4 linked regions of the Kluyveromyces lactis genome follow. The protein of the gene in region 3 interacts with the protein of the main gene of each other region in a pairwise test. Links are inferred from orthologs where the notes say so. Each region holds a gene or a part of one and is shown on either strand. Other genes may lie near its edges. The genes, in order: URB2, RSA3, URB1 and MAK16.

What was found.
Region 1: the proteins of URB1 (region 3) and URB2 interact in binary tests that used the Saccharomyces cerevisiae proteins (3 or more experiments, as listed by UniProt). The link is inferred for Kluyveromyces lactis from reciprocal best matches to the Saccharomyces cerevisiae genes URB1 and URB2.
Region 2: the proteins of URB1 (region 3) and RSA3 interact in binary tests that used the Saccharomyces cerevisiae proteins (3 or more experiments, as listed by UniProt). The link is inferred for Kluyveromyces lactis from reciprocal best matches to the Saccharomyces cerevisiae genes URB1 and RSA3.
Region 4: the proteins of URB1 (region 3) and MAK16 interact in binary tests that used the Saccharomyces cerevisiae proteins (3 or more experiments, as listed by UniProt). The link is inferred for Kluyveromyces lactis from reciprocal best matches to the Saccharomyces cerevisiae genes URB1 and MAK16.

What each region holds. Positions count from the first base shown.
Region 1 is NC_006041.1:2,001,750-2,007,053, reverse strand, and holds the start of URB2 (ribosome biogenesis protein URB2), read right to left. Parts: upstream 3,252-5,304; coding exon 1-3,251. Other genes in the region: NUP85 (Nup85p), read left to right, coding at 3,876-5,304.
Region 2 is NC_006042.1:1,225,287-1,228,953, reverse strand, and holds RSA3 (Rsa3p), read right to left. Parts: upstream 1,993-3,667; coding exon 1,381-1,992; downstream 1-1,380. Other genes in the region: CCC1 (Ccc1p), read left to right, coding at 215-1,126; U3 snoRNA-associated protein UTP13, read right to left, coding at 2,332-3,667. UniProt on the Saccharomyces cerevisiae protein: Required for efficient biogenesis of the 60S ribosomal subunit.
Region 3 is NC_006041.1:1,617,232-1,622,469, forward strand, and holds the start of URB1 (Urb1p), read right to left. Parts: upstream 3,680-5,238; coding exon 1-3,679. Other genes in the region: INA22 (Ina22p), read left to right, coding at 4,263-4,955; DAL81 (Dal81p), read right to left, coding at 5,069-5,238. UniProt on the Saccharomyces cerevisiae protein: Required for 60S ribosomal subunit formation and pre-rRNA processing. Required for normal accumulation of 25S and 5.8S rRNAs.
Region 4 is NC_006037.1:358,795-362,975, forward strand, and holds MAK16 (ribosome biosynthesis protein MAK16), read right to left. Parts: upstream 2,096-4,181; coding exon 1,187-2,095; downstream 1-1,186. Other genes in the region: aminophospholipid-translocating P4-type ATPase DRS2, read right to left, coding at 1-861; mitotic regulator LTE1, read right to left, coding at 2,534-4,181.

The sequences.
Region 1 (5,304 bases), about 380 kb from region 3:
GATAATTTGATGAATTGTAGAAGAACAACTGGCAGATTCTTTCTTAGCGATCTTTTAACATTAGAAACAGCCGAGGACAATGTCGTCTGCTTACTGCTTCTCACATTTGCAGGCTCACAATAGTTACATATGAATCTTGATACTGCTTTCGCTGATTCAACCGATAGAGCGTATTGCTTAGCATCTGATAGTAACTCCAGTAATTGGCAGATAACAATGTTGATCAAATGAGTACGATTGGATAACTTATAACGATGAAATAATAGCAATGAAGAGAGCATATGTGTGCAGGAAAAAATCAGGTCATTTTTAGAGTATGGAATCTTATTTTTGATCTCTCTCTGATCGGGTGTATCAGCTGCTTTGATTATGTTATCCAAAAGAATCTTGGATGTTAGTGGGAAAAGCATTTCTGAACAGTACTGTGTGAATAAAAACGGTTTGGCCACCAGCAGATCATTCAGAAAGGTAATGAAAGATATAATATCTTTTCTGTCTATAATGCTAGTAGAGTAGTTTGTTAAAAGGTGTGAAATTGATTTGACAAAAATATGCCTTCCACTACTATTCTGTTTTGAAACAAAGTGGATGAATAACTGTAGCAGCTCCAATACTGCTCCGGAGTTGCTTGTTGATAGTACAGGCATAGTATTGCAGATCGTTTCGAATGCTGTATTGAAGTCTTCATCGTTATTAATAATTCTCTTGGATATGTTCAATTTTATTGCCTGTAATAACATCTCTTTAGACACTCCATTTTCTCTTAAGATAAGATACTGCGCTAGAAGATATTCAATATTATCATTGTAATTTAGTGTTGATACCATAAAATATGCCGATTGAACTTCAATGTCAGAAGGAATGGCGGATGCCTTCGAAAATAACGGTGGAACAGGAATTGTTGTTTTAGAGTTACTTGCTTGAATGAACAAAACCTTGAGCAGCCATGCAAGTAATTTGAAATCTCCGTTGAAATGCTGAATATTGTAAATCAAACTATTGATGAACTTAACCTTAAGAGCATCTAAATGCAACCCTGATTCATCGCATGTTTTGAGTACCAGATGCAACAAGGCATAAGTGTTATAATCAAAGGTATGATTCAAATTTGCCTGAATGCTTTGTAATAGAGAATCCATGGATGAAGATGCTTTGTTGTCGTTTCTTTGAAGCAGTGCACTCTGCCAAACGGCTGCAATAACCGGATTTTCCAAGCTATATTTGAAGAATGAATTGCCGACAAACGTGAGCATTGTTTTATAATCGGTTTCTATTTTGCTCCTCGAGGTAGGGTTTTTCAAAACATGACAAAGAACATTTATGTCATCCTCTTTCAAAACATCCTTCTCTATTATTTGGTCTAGGATTGCCAATCTTACAGCCTTATTCAAACATTGAATTGGAATTTCCAATAAATACTTCAGATGAAGGTTAGAATTAACATCGGCTGTCAAGTGAACCACTATCGAACGAACAATGTTAGACTCTTCAAAAAAATCCTCTTCAGCGAATAGCACAGGCAAAATATCGATGTGATTTTGAAGTAGTTTTTCGATCAGGTGTGATATGTTCTTATTTCCGAATGATGAATCGACGAGAGTTGACCAACGCGTTAAAAGGGTCTGTAGAATATTTGATAACTCTGCTGAGTCCAGATTACCAATAAAATTCATAAAAGCTTCAATAACAGGTAAATTTTCAAATGGCTGGAGCTCGTAGAACTTGAATAAGGCGAAAAATAGTTCACTACTATGGTATTTTTTTCCAAGATTGATGAGACCTGATGCGTCGTCAGGATTGAACTTCACAGCGATAGGAAGATCATCATATAGTTCAAGAACGTGATATTTGAGTTGCCAAAATACTGGAGCATTAAAACCCTCTATTTCAAAAAGTTTTGAAAGATAAATCCGAAATTCCAAGCACTGCGCATAAGAGAGCATTTTCAATCCAGAAACTATAACTTGTAAAATATTCACTGAAAAAATATCATTCTCAGAAGCAATAACATCTACTAAATCTGTAATGATTGCACGAGTCTGTGTTACAGATAATGCAGGAACATTATCGGAAAGGACCTTAGTCATTTTCGAATCAGTCAAGAATAATGAAGTGGTGTTTTTCCTACAATATTCTCTCCAGATAGTCAAAAGATTTGTAAATTCTCTGGCATTGACATGACAATTGATAATTGAAGTCCAAATTTCTAGCTCAAAATTAGTGGTCGAAGCGTCCATAGCATTCATTAATTCTTCCGTCTTCAAGATACCAATTTCAATGTCCATTTCGATAATGCTCTTAATTATTTTCCAATCTCTGGACTCAAATACGGAAGTGAATAATGACTCTAAAAACGTCTGTGAAATAATCTTTCTGTAGGCATTGAGTGTAGCCAACAAATCTGCGCATATTGTGACATCAATATCTAACAACATTTTTAAAATGGTTTCCAGAGTAGCGGCATCGCATTTACCTGTTGTAATGCACTTTGTGAAAAGCAAAACCAATAAATCTGGGGAGAGGGAACTTTTATGCAAACCTACAAAAGTTTTCAACGCTGCAGGCAAATCCCTTGTGAATTCAAATAAATACCTTTTTGTAAACTCAGATAATACGTCAAAGATGTTGTCAAACACCTCTTCGTCAGCCTGCTTGAAGTATTTCAAACTCGGTAGCAACAGTTCAGAGCAGTACACACCAGAAACTTTATTAGATACTTCCGTAAAGTTGTTCAAATCAGTAAATGTCAAAATTTCTGAAATTATTGCTTGCTTCAGGAAGTTCTCACGACCAAAGTCACAGGAAAGTACGATATCTATGACTCTACCTAAAAGCTTAAGACCTGCTTCCGGAGAGACTGCGGTAATCATACAAGAATTAACAGATTTCAGTACCTCATATACATGCTCACAAAGCTCATGGTCACCGTCCTGCATCTCTTCAAATGTTAGTTGAATTAAATTTACTGATCTTAGATTCCTCAATAATTTTTTCTTATGATTCTCAGACGAAACCATAACCCATAGCTGTTTCCATAACTTCCAAATGTTGGTGTCCTTTCTGAACTGTGCCTGTTTAGCATCATTCCATCTGTCAATGATCAATTCTAATATAAAGATATGGCCATTTGGAAAGTATATATCGTATTTCCCATCTAGTACGGAAACCGAAATGTCATAAATCTCTTGTGTAGTGACGTTCTTCGATCTGAGATACCGAGTGATACCTTCTGCAGTATTGGGAAAGGACATTTTGATTTTCTCACCCTTACGAACGTCGTTCAGAGCTGCTATATCGATATGTAATCTGCTAGGTGATCTCGTTTTACCTCATCTCATCTCATCTCATCTCATCGCTACTTTTAATGTTTGAAAATTGATGTTCAGTAAAATTTGACAATAAGAAATTATACGCAGTTCATTACGGAAGAAAAAGTATAAAGAAAGATGATTTAAGGAGCACTTGGAGATCTCTGATGCGCTTTTTGGCACATGCTGATCTACCGGCATATAAATTTATCATTTAGAGGGGCAACCCATAGCTATACTCGCTGGTTCAGTAGATAAATGTTGGAAGTTCAAGAAGGATAGATGGAATTTCATATGTGGTGTACGGGTGTAACAAGCATCAAATTTTTCTAAGAGATTCGTATATATCACTTTTAGGATATATTTTGAATATTGCAATCAGTAAACATTGAGAGAAAATGAGAATATAGAGACCAATTACGCTCCAAATCATTAAAGGAGTTACGTTCAATCGCTGGATTGGGATTTGTACTGACTGTTAATATAATTTTCTTTTTTGAAACCTTGAGTTAAACTGAAATTTGCGGTTTAATCGCGTGTTTTCACCAAAGAATCATAGCAGTAACAATGGCTAACGATGAATTCGCCGACACACAGGACCTATTAATGGATGTCGATAACCTAGACTTTTTGGACGAAGAAGGTATCAGCAATGAAAGTGATGATGATATTAATCTAACAATCAATGTTGACCCTGTCAGCAATGCACCAATGGTGAACTTCCCTATTGAGCAACCCTCGGCCAAAGAATTACGCTTCAAATACAACAACGTTTCGTCCCGAAGCCTTGCTTTTGATAACTCTACGAAAGATAATAAACTATATCCTGTAAGATTTCTACATTTAGATGAATCTAAAGAATTTGCCCAATATGTATCAAAACTTTTTGAGTTGTATCAGGGATTAGGAGAACATCGCAAGAACGATGTACCGACCATAGGGCTAATAAAACAAACTTCAAGACTCGAACACTTCTCGATAGTTAATTTAGCATTTCATGCCTTGGTTACAGAACTAGAGTTCTACATTGAATCCATCAAATACACGAATAAGCTGCAACGAATTGGAGATCTTGAGGAATGTTTGAGCATACTAAATTGCTTGAAGACAATTTACTTTTTAACTGACTCTCCGGAATACAAACAAGAGGACCTTCTAGAGTCTTTGATCAATTGGGTGAACAGATCAGATGGTGAACCAAGTGAGCTGGTTATTCAAAAGATCTTTGATGAAACCCTTCTGACGCGAAGAAAAGTCTATGAACAATCTGATTTTTGGGACCTAACGGCACAGCTTCTTTTGAGAGGCTTATGGTCTCAGAGTATCCAATGCATTCAAAATTCTCAACTGCTGGAACATGGAAATGAAACAGTGGGAGTATTTGTCACTGATTTGATTACAATCATTGAGAGTTACCCACTTCATTCTGAAAATTTATTCCGTGAATGGAAGAATAGCGTACTCCAATTAATGACAAATTGGGATGAACAAGAGGTTGAACCTGAAATCAAGAAGAATTTGATGAACATCTTCATGATTTTAAGTGGTTCTAAAAATAAAATCTGTGAATTCTCACAGTATTGGTACGAATCGTACTGTGGATTGATGTTGTACTATATACCAACTTTGGAATTGAGTCAAGAATATGGACAATTAGCTACTAAACATAATGCCATCGATGTTTGCAATAACTGGGAAACGCCGTGTTATCACATTATCAATGACAAAGTTGCTGATGTGTTACCGATTCTTGAATCCTTAGACCTTGCAACTGCTGCTTTTGTAGCGGTATTGTGCGAAGCTAAAGGAATTATAAAAACTGACTTCTACGAAATTTTTGCTCATAAAAGTGGATTGAACTCAGAACTTGCATTTGAAAATGAACCAACCATTGGAGAATTTTTAATTCGCCAAGTTGCTCTTTCTTTATGCTCGTATGATGATAAAACGCTGTGGCCAGTTTCAGTGGGATTAATTTCTTTATCTTCAGATTCAG
Region 2 (3,667 bases), on a different chromosome or scaffold from region 3:
AGACGTTTTTCAAAGAAAATAAAGTTGAGGTGATTTTTTGAGAAGTGAAACCAAGGGAACAAACCTGGAATAAGTGGGGAACAAAACACAAGAACGGTTTTATTTGTAGATATTGGTTTATCAGCAGTACTGCTCTGCTATACAATTTTAACTATTTGGTAAAAATAAGACCAGAATAACAATATATTATAACATATTCAGAAACTAGAACTACATGTCCGTGGTTGCAATTAAAAACGCTGTGTCAAAACTCGTAGCGAAAAATCAGGAAGTTCCATTACTATCATCCGATAGTTCTAATTCCAATTCGAATTCTACCACTAATTTGAATAGTCATCGATACTCGGCTTCACCACAGGATGGCGATATAGAATCCTCAAAGCATACAGGTGGGTTTGACGATTATGACAATGAGGATGATGGTACGTCTGGATTGTTCGGTAAGATTGATCCAAGAGTTATGTCCGATATGATTATCGGACTCAGTGATGGTTTGACGGTTCCTTTCGCGTTGACCGCAGGTCTTTCCTCGTTGGGAGATTCCAAGTTGGTGATTACAGGTGGGTTCGCGGAATTGATCTCTGGTGCTATATCTATGGGTCTTGGTGGTTATTTGGGTGCTAAATCTGAAAGTGATTACTATAAATCGGAGGTGTCGCAAGAAAAAAGGAAATTTTATAGCAATACTCAGCTAATAAACCATGAAATTGAAGATATACTAATGGAAATGAACCCAGAATTCTCGGAAAATACAGTGATATCGTTTGTGAAAGATATGCAACGAGACCCAGAACTTATGGTGGATTTCATTATCAAATACGGAAGAGGTTTAGATGAACCCGATGATAATAGACAATGGATTAGTGCACTAACGATCGGAGGAGGATACTTTGCCGGTGGGTTCGTCCCGTTAATACCATATTTCTTTGTTGAAACGGTGGGAACCGGTCTCCTGATCTCTATTGCATTAATGACTTTCACGTTGTTCTGGTTCGGATATTTCAAATCCCAAGTCTCAATGAACGATTGTACCCTGCAGAAAAAGTTACTGGAAGGCTTACAAATGATAGCAGTCGGTGGGACTGCTGCAGGTGCAGCTTGGTTCTTCGTTAAGGTCATCGAATGAGAGTCACAAATAAAACAAAATTAATTAATCATAATCATCCTCATCATCTCTTATTTATTTTACTTCTTCTTTTAAGCGTTCCCTAGTATCACGTACTTTTTTTTTTATCATTCCAATACGTATTCATATCTTACTCCAAATCATCAATTTGCCGTCCAGACTTTATTTGATTCATTCTAGCTGTATCGTGATAGATGGTTTGTATTTTTATTTTATTATACATGTGTTTTTAAAATGCTAGATAGATCCAAACACTATTTATCCTCTACTATTGTCTTCAAGGTCTCCAAATCAAACATATCTCCTCCGTCTTTTAGAACATTCGCTAGCATGACAAGGGTCTTCGAAGTGAAATCTGGTGCGTTTCTCAATTCGTTCATGTCATCACCATAACTCTCAAATAGCATACTCAAATATTGATTCTTTAATCCGTTCTTGTCCTTATTATTCTCTAGCAATTTATTGCTGCTTTCATCTAACGTAGCAGACATCTTATTCAAATCGATATTCCCTAGATGAATGCCATTGTTGCCAGTTAAATCGCTTGTTGTTAGTCCCACTTTATTTAATTTGTCCACAGTCTCCGAGGACAAGACGCTTCCCTCTTTTCGGCTGGCTTTTTTATCGTCCAATGCAGCTTCATCTTCTTCTTTATCCATGTCAATATCTGAAAGCGTTACATCTTCAACATCAGATGCAGCTTTCTCCACAGTTTCGAGCTTAGTATCATTATCTTCTACCGATGAATTTTCAGAATCGGAGCTGGAATCAGAACTTGAGTCGGACACGTCTTGCGTTCTTCTCTTCTTTCTTCTGTTCTTCCTCTTGTTCGTCTTGCTAATAGCTGCAATATGTCCCTCTGACATGATAGTTTCCGATAGAGCTTCTCGTTAATATGGAGGAGAGTTAACTTTAAAGTATAACTGTCAAAAATTCACAGTTGAAGTCACCTTTTAACAGAAGAAGGATGAGAGCCGATCTCATCTCATCTCATCTCATCGCTTCACATCGTCTAGTTATTTGATGAAGTTTCTTTTGCAGGGAAACAAATTCTGTCTAAAACTCAAAGCCGGGTAACAAACTTATTATTCTACTGATGGATGGCCCTTGACTGGATATGGTATCTATTCAGAGTTGATGCGGTGGGTGTGTTGTACTGTTATATGTATATATCTACATGACGACTAGTGCTATATTTACATTCTTTATAGCAATTTGTCCATTTGAACTAAAGCGTAATCTAAGATATAACTTTCTTGAACCAAGTTATCCATTCTTGAGTAATGTCTCTCTGCGTATGAGATTATTGATTCAACGATCCTTACAAGCCCAGGAATTTCGCTCAACTCTTCAATATTTTGTCTTAGAAGAATACACCTTATCATCTTTTGGGCTACTGTGTGTGTTCTTGCATTTGTATTCCAATCTCTGCACCTTTTCACTAAAAGAAGAAGTTGATCTTTATCTAGAGTCGACACAACCTCGTCAATTTCGTTGTTGAAAACTACATTTGGATCCTCATTTGAGTTGTCTACACTTTGTCTTAAGACGTTGTACAATCTCATTGGGTGATCCAAGGTCATGGCAAGCAAAAATGCGTTAGTCCAGTCACCTTCTGAGAGATAATTTTGTAATGATTGTTCTTGTTCAATCTTCAGTTTCTCTTGCTCGAGGTTACGTTCGTGTTCCTCTTCACTGTTATCCCTCCAGAACTCAAAGAAGCCGTCAGCATCTGCTGTAACGAAGGATTCACCATCGTTCATAACAGCAAGAGCCCAGATACGGTTATTGTGAGCATCTAGTGTCTTGACCGATTCACCAGTTGATAGATCCCAAATAATAACTAAACCATCAGCACCAGTACTTATCAGTTGCTTGTTCTTGTTTATGAAGGAACATCTTTGAACTGCATTGGTATGTCCTTCCAAAGTTTTTACGACGGCATATGATTCTAAGGACCAAATTTTGATGGTCTTGTCACCGGAACATGTGGCCAATAACTTGTCATATTGACAGAATGCAACGTCCCATAGACCACGTTTGTGGTTTGCTAATGTGGCTTGGAATTCACCATCATCCAAATTCCATATTTTACATGTCTTATCGTATGAAGCCGTGGCAAATAGAGAATCATTAGGTGAAATGGAGATAGCATTGATATCCTTTTCATGCGCCCTTCTGGTATATTCTGAGGTCTTAACAAGTATTAGATCTTCGGGTTCATCAGATGTCACCTTAGGAACCTTCCATTTCTTTATGGTCAAATCGTTAGAAGCTGTAATTATGAATTCAGGCCATGAACGTGGCATAACATTAGGAAGTCCAACAGCATTCACAGAACCTACATGACCGACAAATTTAGTGTATGGATAAAAGTCTTCGTACTTTGCATGATATCTCCATAATATAACGCTGTGATCCTTGGATGCTGTAGCAACCCAGAGACCATCAGCGGTGGCATCCAAAGAGTTGAGTAGATCCGTATGACCCTCGTACATCTTTACTTCAATAGGAAATGTTTCTTTGTTCTCCCCATTTTCG
Region 3 (5,238 bases):
ATTTGGAGCCCTTTTCATTCAAATAAACAAGAGAATCGTTGTTTAAAAGTAGCTGTAATATCTGATTCGAGTTGACAGATGATTTATCGGCTTTCAGCAACAGCACATTATAGTACTCCATTAAAACATCATTCTTAACCCAGATGCTTGAAGAAACTACCTCTAGCTGGGCATTAAGAATGGATGGCTTCACTAATTTCCACAAATCTGCAGATGATTTAGTCATAAACTTCTTAGTTGTTTCAAGAATCTTTGCAAAGCTCTCAGATAACACTGGTTTTTCAGCAAGGTATTTTGTGATGTATAAGAAAAGCTTGTTCAACCACGTCCTCACATTATTGTCCTCATAACGATCTACAGCCATGATGAAGGCTGCACCATCTGCTGTATATTTCATCTTATGTTCGGTGATAAATTTAGTGGCTTGTTCAATATTGCCAGTATCCAATAAGCTGTGGTGAGTGGTTAACAAGGCCAAGGATGCTGACAATTTATAACCTGAAGCGCTGTTCAAGTTTTCCATAGCTATGTTTATTGCTTCCATAATAGCTTCTCTATCTGTTTCCTTCTGCAAATGCGTCGCAATTATAATCTTGGTAGTTGGATCCGGAATCTCTGAGTACTGGTTGGATAGAGAGTTTGTCAACCCTTTAATTCTCATACAAGACTCTATAAAAAATGCTTCTTTTCCGATAATAGATGAAGCTAATTTAGTCACGTCGACAATCTCAATCTTAACAAGCTTGAAATCCAGAATTTGTTGAAGTAATTTCTGAATATCTGAAGTCGCCACTTCGAGGATTTTCGTAAAGATCTCAACATCAACAATGACATTTTCTACTAGACATCTTTGAAGCAACTGCCTACAAACCGTTTCAGAATAATTATCTATCATATGCAAACACTTGATAACATCTTCGGCTGAAACTATTTCGCTTAAAACTCCCAGCGCAATGGTTCTGCGCTGTGATTTTTCAGAAGCAGCAATTGTCTTGAATAAATCAAAGGCATATTTGCTGAATTCATCATACTCAATATCGAGCTGACTATAAATTTGTTGAAGGCCATTAACAACGTATAAGAATAAGTCAAATGAATCGCTGTCTATATTAGGCAACTCACCATCAAACAAATGAGAAAAATAACTTTTCTTAACGACACGTTTCTTAAACTTCATATCACCTAATGCATAATTACCCACCTTGGACAATAGGTTATCAATAGTTTCCTGTACCTGCGTAGAAAGTAAACTGCCTGACATCGTTTTCTTTAGACGGAAAATAATAGCAGCTACATCAAAAGAATTCACAGGGAATCTGCTCATTTTGCTTAACTTCGGGGAATATTGCAACAAAATGTGATCATAGCTAGAAGTTGAATCATTTGAAAACAAAAGGTATTCCGGAGATGATACTTTCTTAATGATCTCGTCAGTAAAGGATAAGTACAATTCGACAAGATTATGAGGTATACTTTCAACGTTAGAAAGTAGATTTCTAATACCTACTTCAGACTCTCCTAGCACCAGCATATTTCTGAAAAATATAAGTAACCACTTGACGATAACTGACTCTTTTGGGTTATCAATTTGGACAAATTTCCATTGTTCAACAAGTGTCAAAAGGAAAGGTGATAGATTCTCATATTGCCTTGCCATATCAACATACTTATACGGAGTCTTATGACATCTAGAAATGGCTTCATCCAATAGTTTCAAAATCTTCATGTGCTCCGAGGTGGAAAAAGAGGAACCAGTACTTGACAAAAGCGATAAACTATTAATTAAAGCTGAAATTGGAGAACTTATTAGCTCTTTCATCTTGAAAATATTACTGAACTGTACCAAATTGAATAGTAAATTCGATATTCTAGAAGTGACGATTGATGAAGCGTTTTTCGAAGATGCGAGCCTTAAAAGCGATGTGAATAGAGAGTTTTCGTTATTTGAGGCATTCCACCACTTGATTTGGGAGTTATTTAGTTCCTGGAACTTCATGAAATTATCAAGGATAACCAAATCCATTCCTGAAAATTGATCACTTTTCATAATATCAACATATATGTTGCTAGCTGGTAAATTGACGTTGAAGAAGTTTGGGAATATTTTACTATAGTAATTGAGGATAACGGTTAAGGACAAAGGTAAAATTTTGTTAGTTGGGGATTCCGTGTATAAGATATTCAAAACTGTCGTCAAAACGGGTAAATCTGGCAAGTACGAAAAATAAGCATTTAAGAGCATTGCCTTTGAATTATCCCATCCCTTTTCGTTGTACAAGTCCAGCACTTTATCCAATTTCTTCAATGAAAATACCAACAATTGACTTCCCATCTGTCTGATTAGATTTACTTTGTTTTGCAGACATTTCGTAAGAGCTGTTTTCGTTAAAGTAGAAGGAATAATCGACTCCACGACAATTGTTGTGGATGGAAGACTATCAGAATCTACTGTTTCGACGTATTCTGGAATGGGAAGATTGATCATTCTACCCAAAAACAATGTCATACCAAACCAATAAGCTGTCATCTTTGGGTCATGTGATCCCATAGATGACACGTACGTTGAGTAAGGAGCCACCAACTCTGGGACGTTACCTAAAATTTTTATGACTGTATTACATTGTGTATCATCTTCCCATGGCTTAAAAAATGTTAATGTGGTGTATAATAACTTGTTGTGTAACTTGAATACCTTCTGGTTAATTACCACAGGAACGCCTGACTTCAAGTTTGAACTATCCTCAAACCAAGAAGTTTTGTCGGTAAATACGACACCAAAGTCCGTATCGCCACCATAGATTTGAAAGAATTCATCTATCAAGGAAACAATGGCTTTATTTGGAGAATAGTAAAACTCATGCAACCTATTCACAACGAACTCATTTAAAATCTTACTCTTGGTCATCTTCCTAAAACTCGTTTCTTTTAGAATGCAATCAATAAATAGATGTAGAGATTCCTCGATAAGTTCAACAGAGTCCATTTTAACCATATTCTTAACCCACGCGGTCATAATTTTCTGATTGTCACTGAGAATATCCTTCCTTAGTACCGCCGGTGCGTTCTTAACTAGTGTTATCCAAAATTTAACGAAGTTGGACCTCATAGAGATGTGAGTTGATTTCCTAGTAGCTTCAATATCTGGGTTATCAAGCTTTCTTGGATTCAAAACCTTCAACAATGCTACCAACGTCAAATCGAAATATGACAAAAATTCATCAACGAACTGGCCTTTATTAAACTGTACAATCTCTGTCATTAACCCAAATACTGAATTCGTTATCGAAGGACGCAGATTATTGATACCTCTGTAAAGAACTTTACAGTAATTATTAAGTATATCACGGATAATAACGGATCCGTATTGCACAACACTGGTATTCGAATTCAAAATGGCAATTAGTTTTTTGAGCTTTATAGTAGTTTCAGCAAACTTAGCATGTTCATTCACCTGTGCATAATATGACCAACCTTGTGTGCATTGCACAGCAAGTCCCTTTTGGAAAAACTCAGCTACAGGGCGGTAATTATTGGAAACATCAACATTGAGTAAATCAATACCGTTGATAAGAATCTGCAGGTCATCAAATAAACCACTGCTCACATTACTAACACTTGGAAGGTTCTGTTTCCATTTCCTTTTTCTGGTCCCTAACATGGAGCCGTCGTCGTTATTCATAGCGCAAACACAATGTAGTTTCTGTTCAAAAAACGCTAGATATTAACGGCTTATATATATTACAATAAACCAGCACACTTTCTTGAAGTTTTAAAATGAACCAATGCTACTGTCTTACATAGATTTTAGTAAAACAAAGTGATGATTGTATATGCCCAATCGATGCGATGAGCTTGATCAACATTTTTTTCTTCCATTCTACGCTAAAAGAAACAAATTTTCCAAATATGACGGGGCGTCATGCGATTTTCACGTGACATAATTAATTAATAGTAACTTATCACCTTGCATATTCCCTCACCTGCTTGTAAGACAATCCATAGTCTTATATATGCTGCTTTAGATAGCTGGGATATGATACATGTAACAATAAGGTCACTCAAGGATAGATATTAGCGTTTATTGTTGCTTATTATGCAAATTATGTACTATTTTTACAAAAGATATAAACAATATCGGTTGACAGAATGAAAAGCTTGGAATTGATTAACATCGATGAGTTACTTCCAGAGTTCCAGAACAGCTTCGTCAAATCTTTAACTTTTCTTCGAAGTACATCGTTTAATTGGATCCACGAAGAGAGATGTTCGCACATAGGTTTTTGAAAGTCTCAAGAAGAGCGTATTCAGAAGTTGCAACCAATGCAACCAACGGCGCAAAGAAGTCCAGATTTGATAAGTCAGCTATTAAACCATTAATTTCACTATTGATATTCGGATCTGTGTTAACAAGTGTTTCAGCCCAACAGCAGAGACATGCTGATATGGTTAGAAGATATGAGATGAAGATTAAGATTCTACAGGATTTGATCGACCGTACGAAGCAAGGCGATTTCAATTACAATGCGGAGAAGGAACTAGAATTAGTTAACAAGCTATTCGCTCGTCATGAGCTGGGTAATTCTGTTGATTTGGAAAGAGAAGCTAAGATGATACGTGAACGTGCGGCCAAAGAGATTATTGATCGTGAAAGGGTAATAAAAGGCATGAATTCACAAATTGAAGAAGAATCACTGGAAGATATCTTTCAGGATATCATGAAAGATATCGATCAACCAAATAGCAGCATCGCAGCTCCGACGAAAAAATTAGATAGTGATTCTATGAAGAAGGGTTCTGACGATATTATTGTAGATAAGGAATGGCTAGATTATGAGAGACAAAGAGAACAGAAAAGATTAGCATTCAAACCTTCTACTGAGAAGCATGTTATCGTAGAGAACCCTGGTGAATACAACATCGCAGCAGAAGAAACTAAAGTCAAGAGATTTTTGTAGGGTGTGCCAACTAATATCTTTGTAATTGGTGAAAATTGTTCACTTCATTTACATGACTTCTAAATGAATATATATGTATATATATATGGTTACAACGAATGAAACGAAATATATCAGAACTTAACTTCATTTGTGACCTTTGTATCATCATGGACCACATCCTTTTCTTCGAGGGGAGCACTGCCATTAGAAGGAGTATTAATTTTGGGTCTCACTTCACTTCTTGGTGGACTCTTTTTCAAATCCTTACGAGGACTTTCATGGGAGTGAGTTGTTCCAGTAG
Region 4 (4,181 bases), on a different chromosome or scaffold from region 3:
CAGGGAATGATTCAATTCCTTATCAGCATTCGATCTTTTCAAATCTTCGACACTTTCTTTAACTGCAGAAACAATTAACACTACTAATAGTGTACCAATGGTCGTATATCTATTGGTAGGTGTAACATTAGGTACTTGCTGGATAATGGAGGTGAATAAGAAGAACAAATTCGCGTATTTGGAGAATTCTTGAAACAAAAACTTTGGCAAGAAAGTTGCAGCGTTATATTTCGTCGTAGAGATGTGATTATCTCTGTAGCCGAAACGGCTATTTGCTGAACTATCGTTGAGTAAAATCGTTCTTGGCTCGTCAGACTTACAAGAGGTTTTCCCTTTTCTGAGAATATACCTGTTGAACAAAACTTTGATGTCAAACTTCCTCGTAGAGCTTTCATACCTATTAGTGTTGCTCTGATCGTAGTCATTCATTTCGAAACTTTGGAATTGACCCTTATGTCCACCATTCATACCGACTGCACTTTTCACATTGCTCATAAATCTATTGAACCCACTTGGCTGAGGTAAGACACTATTCCTAGGGTTAGTGTCTGCAAAGGATGCTGAATAACGGTCATTGAAAGGATTTTCAATGTCGTTCTCTATGTTGTCACTGAGGTCAATGGTCTCTTGTGGGAGTAAGCCTCTCTGTGAGGTATCCATTCCTGAATCTATTACTGCACTTGGGCTGTTCCTTCTTGGACTATCCCGTAAATCCGGGGTGTAGCTATCATCAAGAAAGTCAACATCAAACAACGCATCGCTGTCGCCATGCTTAGTTGAGCCACTCATTGGAAAGCAGGTTGATCGGTGTGTCGCTCCTCTCTGGCTCTGTATCTCCCTTTCAAAGTACTTGGGTTTCATGGTGCAAATGGTTTACGAATCTTTCTGTTTAATGTGTCCTAATGGGATTTTCCGGTATAATTTACAAAGAAAAAACTGTCAGCATGGAAACAATATTTCCACGTGACTGCTATTTCGAATGCATTATTTGGGTACAGTATAACAAAATGAAGGGAAAGGGGACATACTATTGATGGTGAGATGCTATTGTAAGTGTATATAATTATTAACTATTGCCTTTGCTTCTTTATCGTAGTTGGAAATTTATCTTCAATAAATATAATAATATGTCAAATTTAATAGTATACAAATGTGGTCATGACGAGCTCTGTTTTTCAGAAACGCATCATTGTGCAAGTTCTTGTTGGTTGGAATTTAGTTCCTGTTCATATTCGATTTCAACCTTAGGATGTCTCTTTCTGGTTTGTGTAGATTTCTTTTGTCTCTTAGATGGGTTTTCTTCTTCATCGCTATCTTCGTCGCTACTGTCTTCGTCACTGTCCTCATCACTGCTGTAATCAGATGTATCAGAACCACCGAGCCATTTTTCTAAATCTTCCATATCTACCATCTCATCCTCAGCGTCTTCATCTTCTACGAATTCGACTTCTCCCTCATCGCTTTCTTCTTCCTCATCCCAATCGTTTTCTTCTTCATCCAAGTCCTCGTCTTCTACACGTCCCATGACCTTCTTCCAGATCTTTTCATCCACATTCAAAGGCTTATCACCATACACACCACTCTTCAATCTCTCAAGCAATTCTTTTTCGATAGCCTTTTCAATCTTAGCGGCTGATAATGCCTTACGTTCTCGGTTCTCTTCTCTTCTTTTCACCTTAGGAGCAATACCGACATAATGTCTCTCCTCCTCTCTCAATGCCAAACGTCTCTCTGTAATCATCACTTGTGTAAGCTTTGTCATCCTTTGCTTACACTTATGAATTAAGAACTTGTTCCAATACAGTAAATGTTCATCGATCTGTGCTAATGCCTTTGTGTAATTCTTAGATAGTTTCACTCTTTCCCACAATTTAGCAGGCGTGTGAGCTCTTTCCGCGGTCTTCATGTACAAGTAAAGTGTTCCGTCCACGTTCTTTACAGTGGCATATTTACTATTTGCCAAAGGACACGCTTGTCTCGAACATAAACCTGTTACGTTGTATTCATTTCTACAGAAGTTCTGTCCCTTATCAGTTTTGACTTTGTACGCACAAAAGTGCTGGTTGATAACCTGCCAAATGATCTCGTCAGACATCTGCTAATGTTCAGTCAATCCTACAGATACTGGTTTATGCTTAGTATGAGTTTATTTAAATTGGTTATGACTATCGCTAAGTTTACTTGCTATTCCGCTAGTCGCTGCTTCTTTCATTTCATCTCATCTCATCGCATCGCATCGATATTTTTCAGTTCTCAAAAATTTTCAGGCAGAAAGAGAAAAAAGAAATGGATTACTAAATTTTTAGTCACATGACCAATGATATTTTATTGTTATAATCGGAAACTTAATCAAGAGTCGGAATATGCATGATTAGATCTAAAGAGATTAACCTTCATTCAAATATGTTCGAAAAAAATGTGGATGAAACTATTTGAAACTGATAAAATCGTGTGTTGATATATATATTATATGAGGTGAAATGAACTGAGACTAACTAGTTCTATGTCAAATACTTTACTCGACATTAAAGAATTAAATTGGGGATTTATGTGAAATTGAATTGATTTCGTCATGGGACAATGATGTGATGTAAACACACTTGCTTAACAACTCATGGTCAATATCAATGTTGTAAAATTTGGACCATTGCATCTTCTGTACGAAGTTTTTCACTATTTGAACATTTGTTTGGAATTTGTTGTAATTTAGCACTTCGTCATGTACAATCCAGGTACGTTTCTCAATGTTTAAAGATAGATCCGATAAGTATACCACGATAAATGGAATGCATCCAGAAAGTGGTTCGACTTCGTCTATTAATTGTCTAATGTTACTGTAATTCTTTTCCAGGGATGGTATGGCCTTCAACGTTTCCCAAGTCAATAGATCGCCTGGTTCGACAAGTCTCCATGTTTCAGTGAATTTCTGAACGACAATGGAGTTTAATGCAAGGATGATTTCCATCAAAGTATTGTAATTTTGTAACTCTTTACAGTGTTCGGCTATGTGAATGAATCTTTGGATCGTGTTCCTTCTCAACCTTATGTCCTGAGTCATTACGATTTCAGAAATGATCCAATCCACGGTCAAGTTGAACCTTGCTATGGCTAAATCGATACCCGACAAGTTTTCGTTCTGTACCAATAATTGCAGCCAACTGGTAAATTGTGGAAGTTGTTCACTCATTGTCAAATCCAATAGATCTTTCCAATCAACTTCAGATAGAATTTCCTTTTCAATCAAGGTCAATTGGTTTGCCACAGATTTAGAATCATACATCAGAATGAACGGGATATGTTGCTCTAAATTGTCTATTTTAAGCCTTGAATCAGTTAATGTGTACTGGTTTAACAAATTACGAATTTGTTCATCAGTATTTTCCAATCTGGTGCAGGAGGAGTCTTTGTCAATGAGTGAATCACGAACGCTAAAATCGATCATTGTGTTGCGTCTTCTCTGTATGAACATGGATTGCCTTTTGCGAGCGCTTTCAGGAAGAGCTGCAGTTTGTACGATTTGGAAATTTTCAACTTCCCGGGCTAATTCGCTGTTAATTGATGGACTTTTATCATCTATTTCCTTTTCCCCTTTATCATACGTCCCTTCTAATTTCATTAAAGCAAGATTAACAGGATCCATAGAAGTATCAGCTGTGTCGTCAATACCATTCATAATGTCCTCTAGTTTCTTTTTATCAATTCCATGATCTTTATTTTCATTATCCTGAGTAGCAATCTCCTCTTCATCTAACGACGTTTGCTCATCAGTTGACTGGTCAATAAACTGTTGTTTTAAATCGTCGAGGTTCTTTTCTGGGGATGCAAAATCTATGCTATCAGTGTCTGGGGAAAACAGGTATTTGTTATTCTCTGGATTCAAGTTTTCAACGTCTTCCTCGAAAATGTCATTAGTTGCCTGTTTTTCTAGATGATATTTCTCTCTCAGAGTTGTGGATTGTGCGCGATTTGGTTTACTAGCAATCGACGTGAGATCAAAGGATTCTTCTGAATCACGACTTCCTATTGACTTTATACTTGGAGTCTCAGAAAGCTTTGAAATAGGTTGTTTGCATAATACTGGCGTAGGGACATCGGGATGCTCCGATTTCTCTTGAATGACATCAACTTCTTTGATTACCAATTTTTGGGGTGAAGCTTGGGCAGAACTAAACAGCAAATTT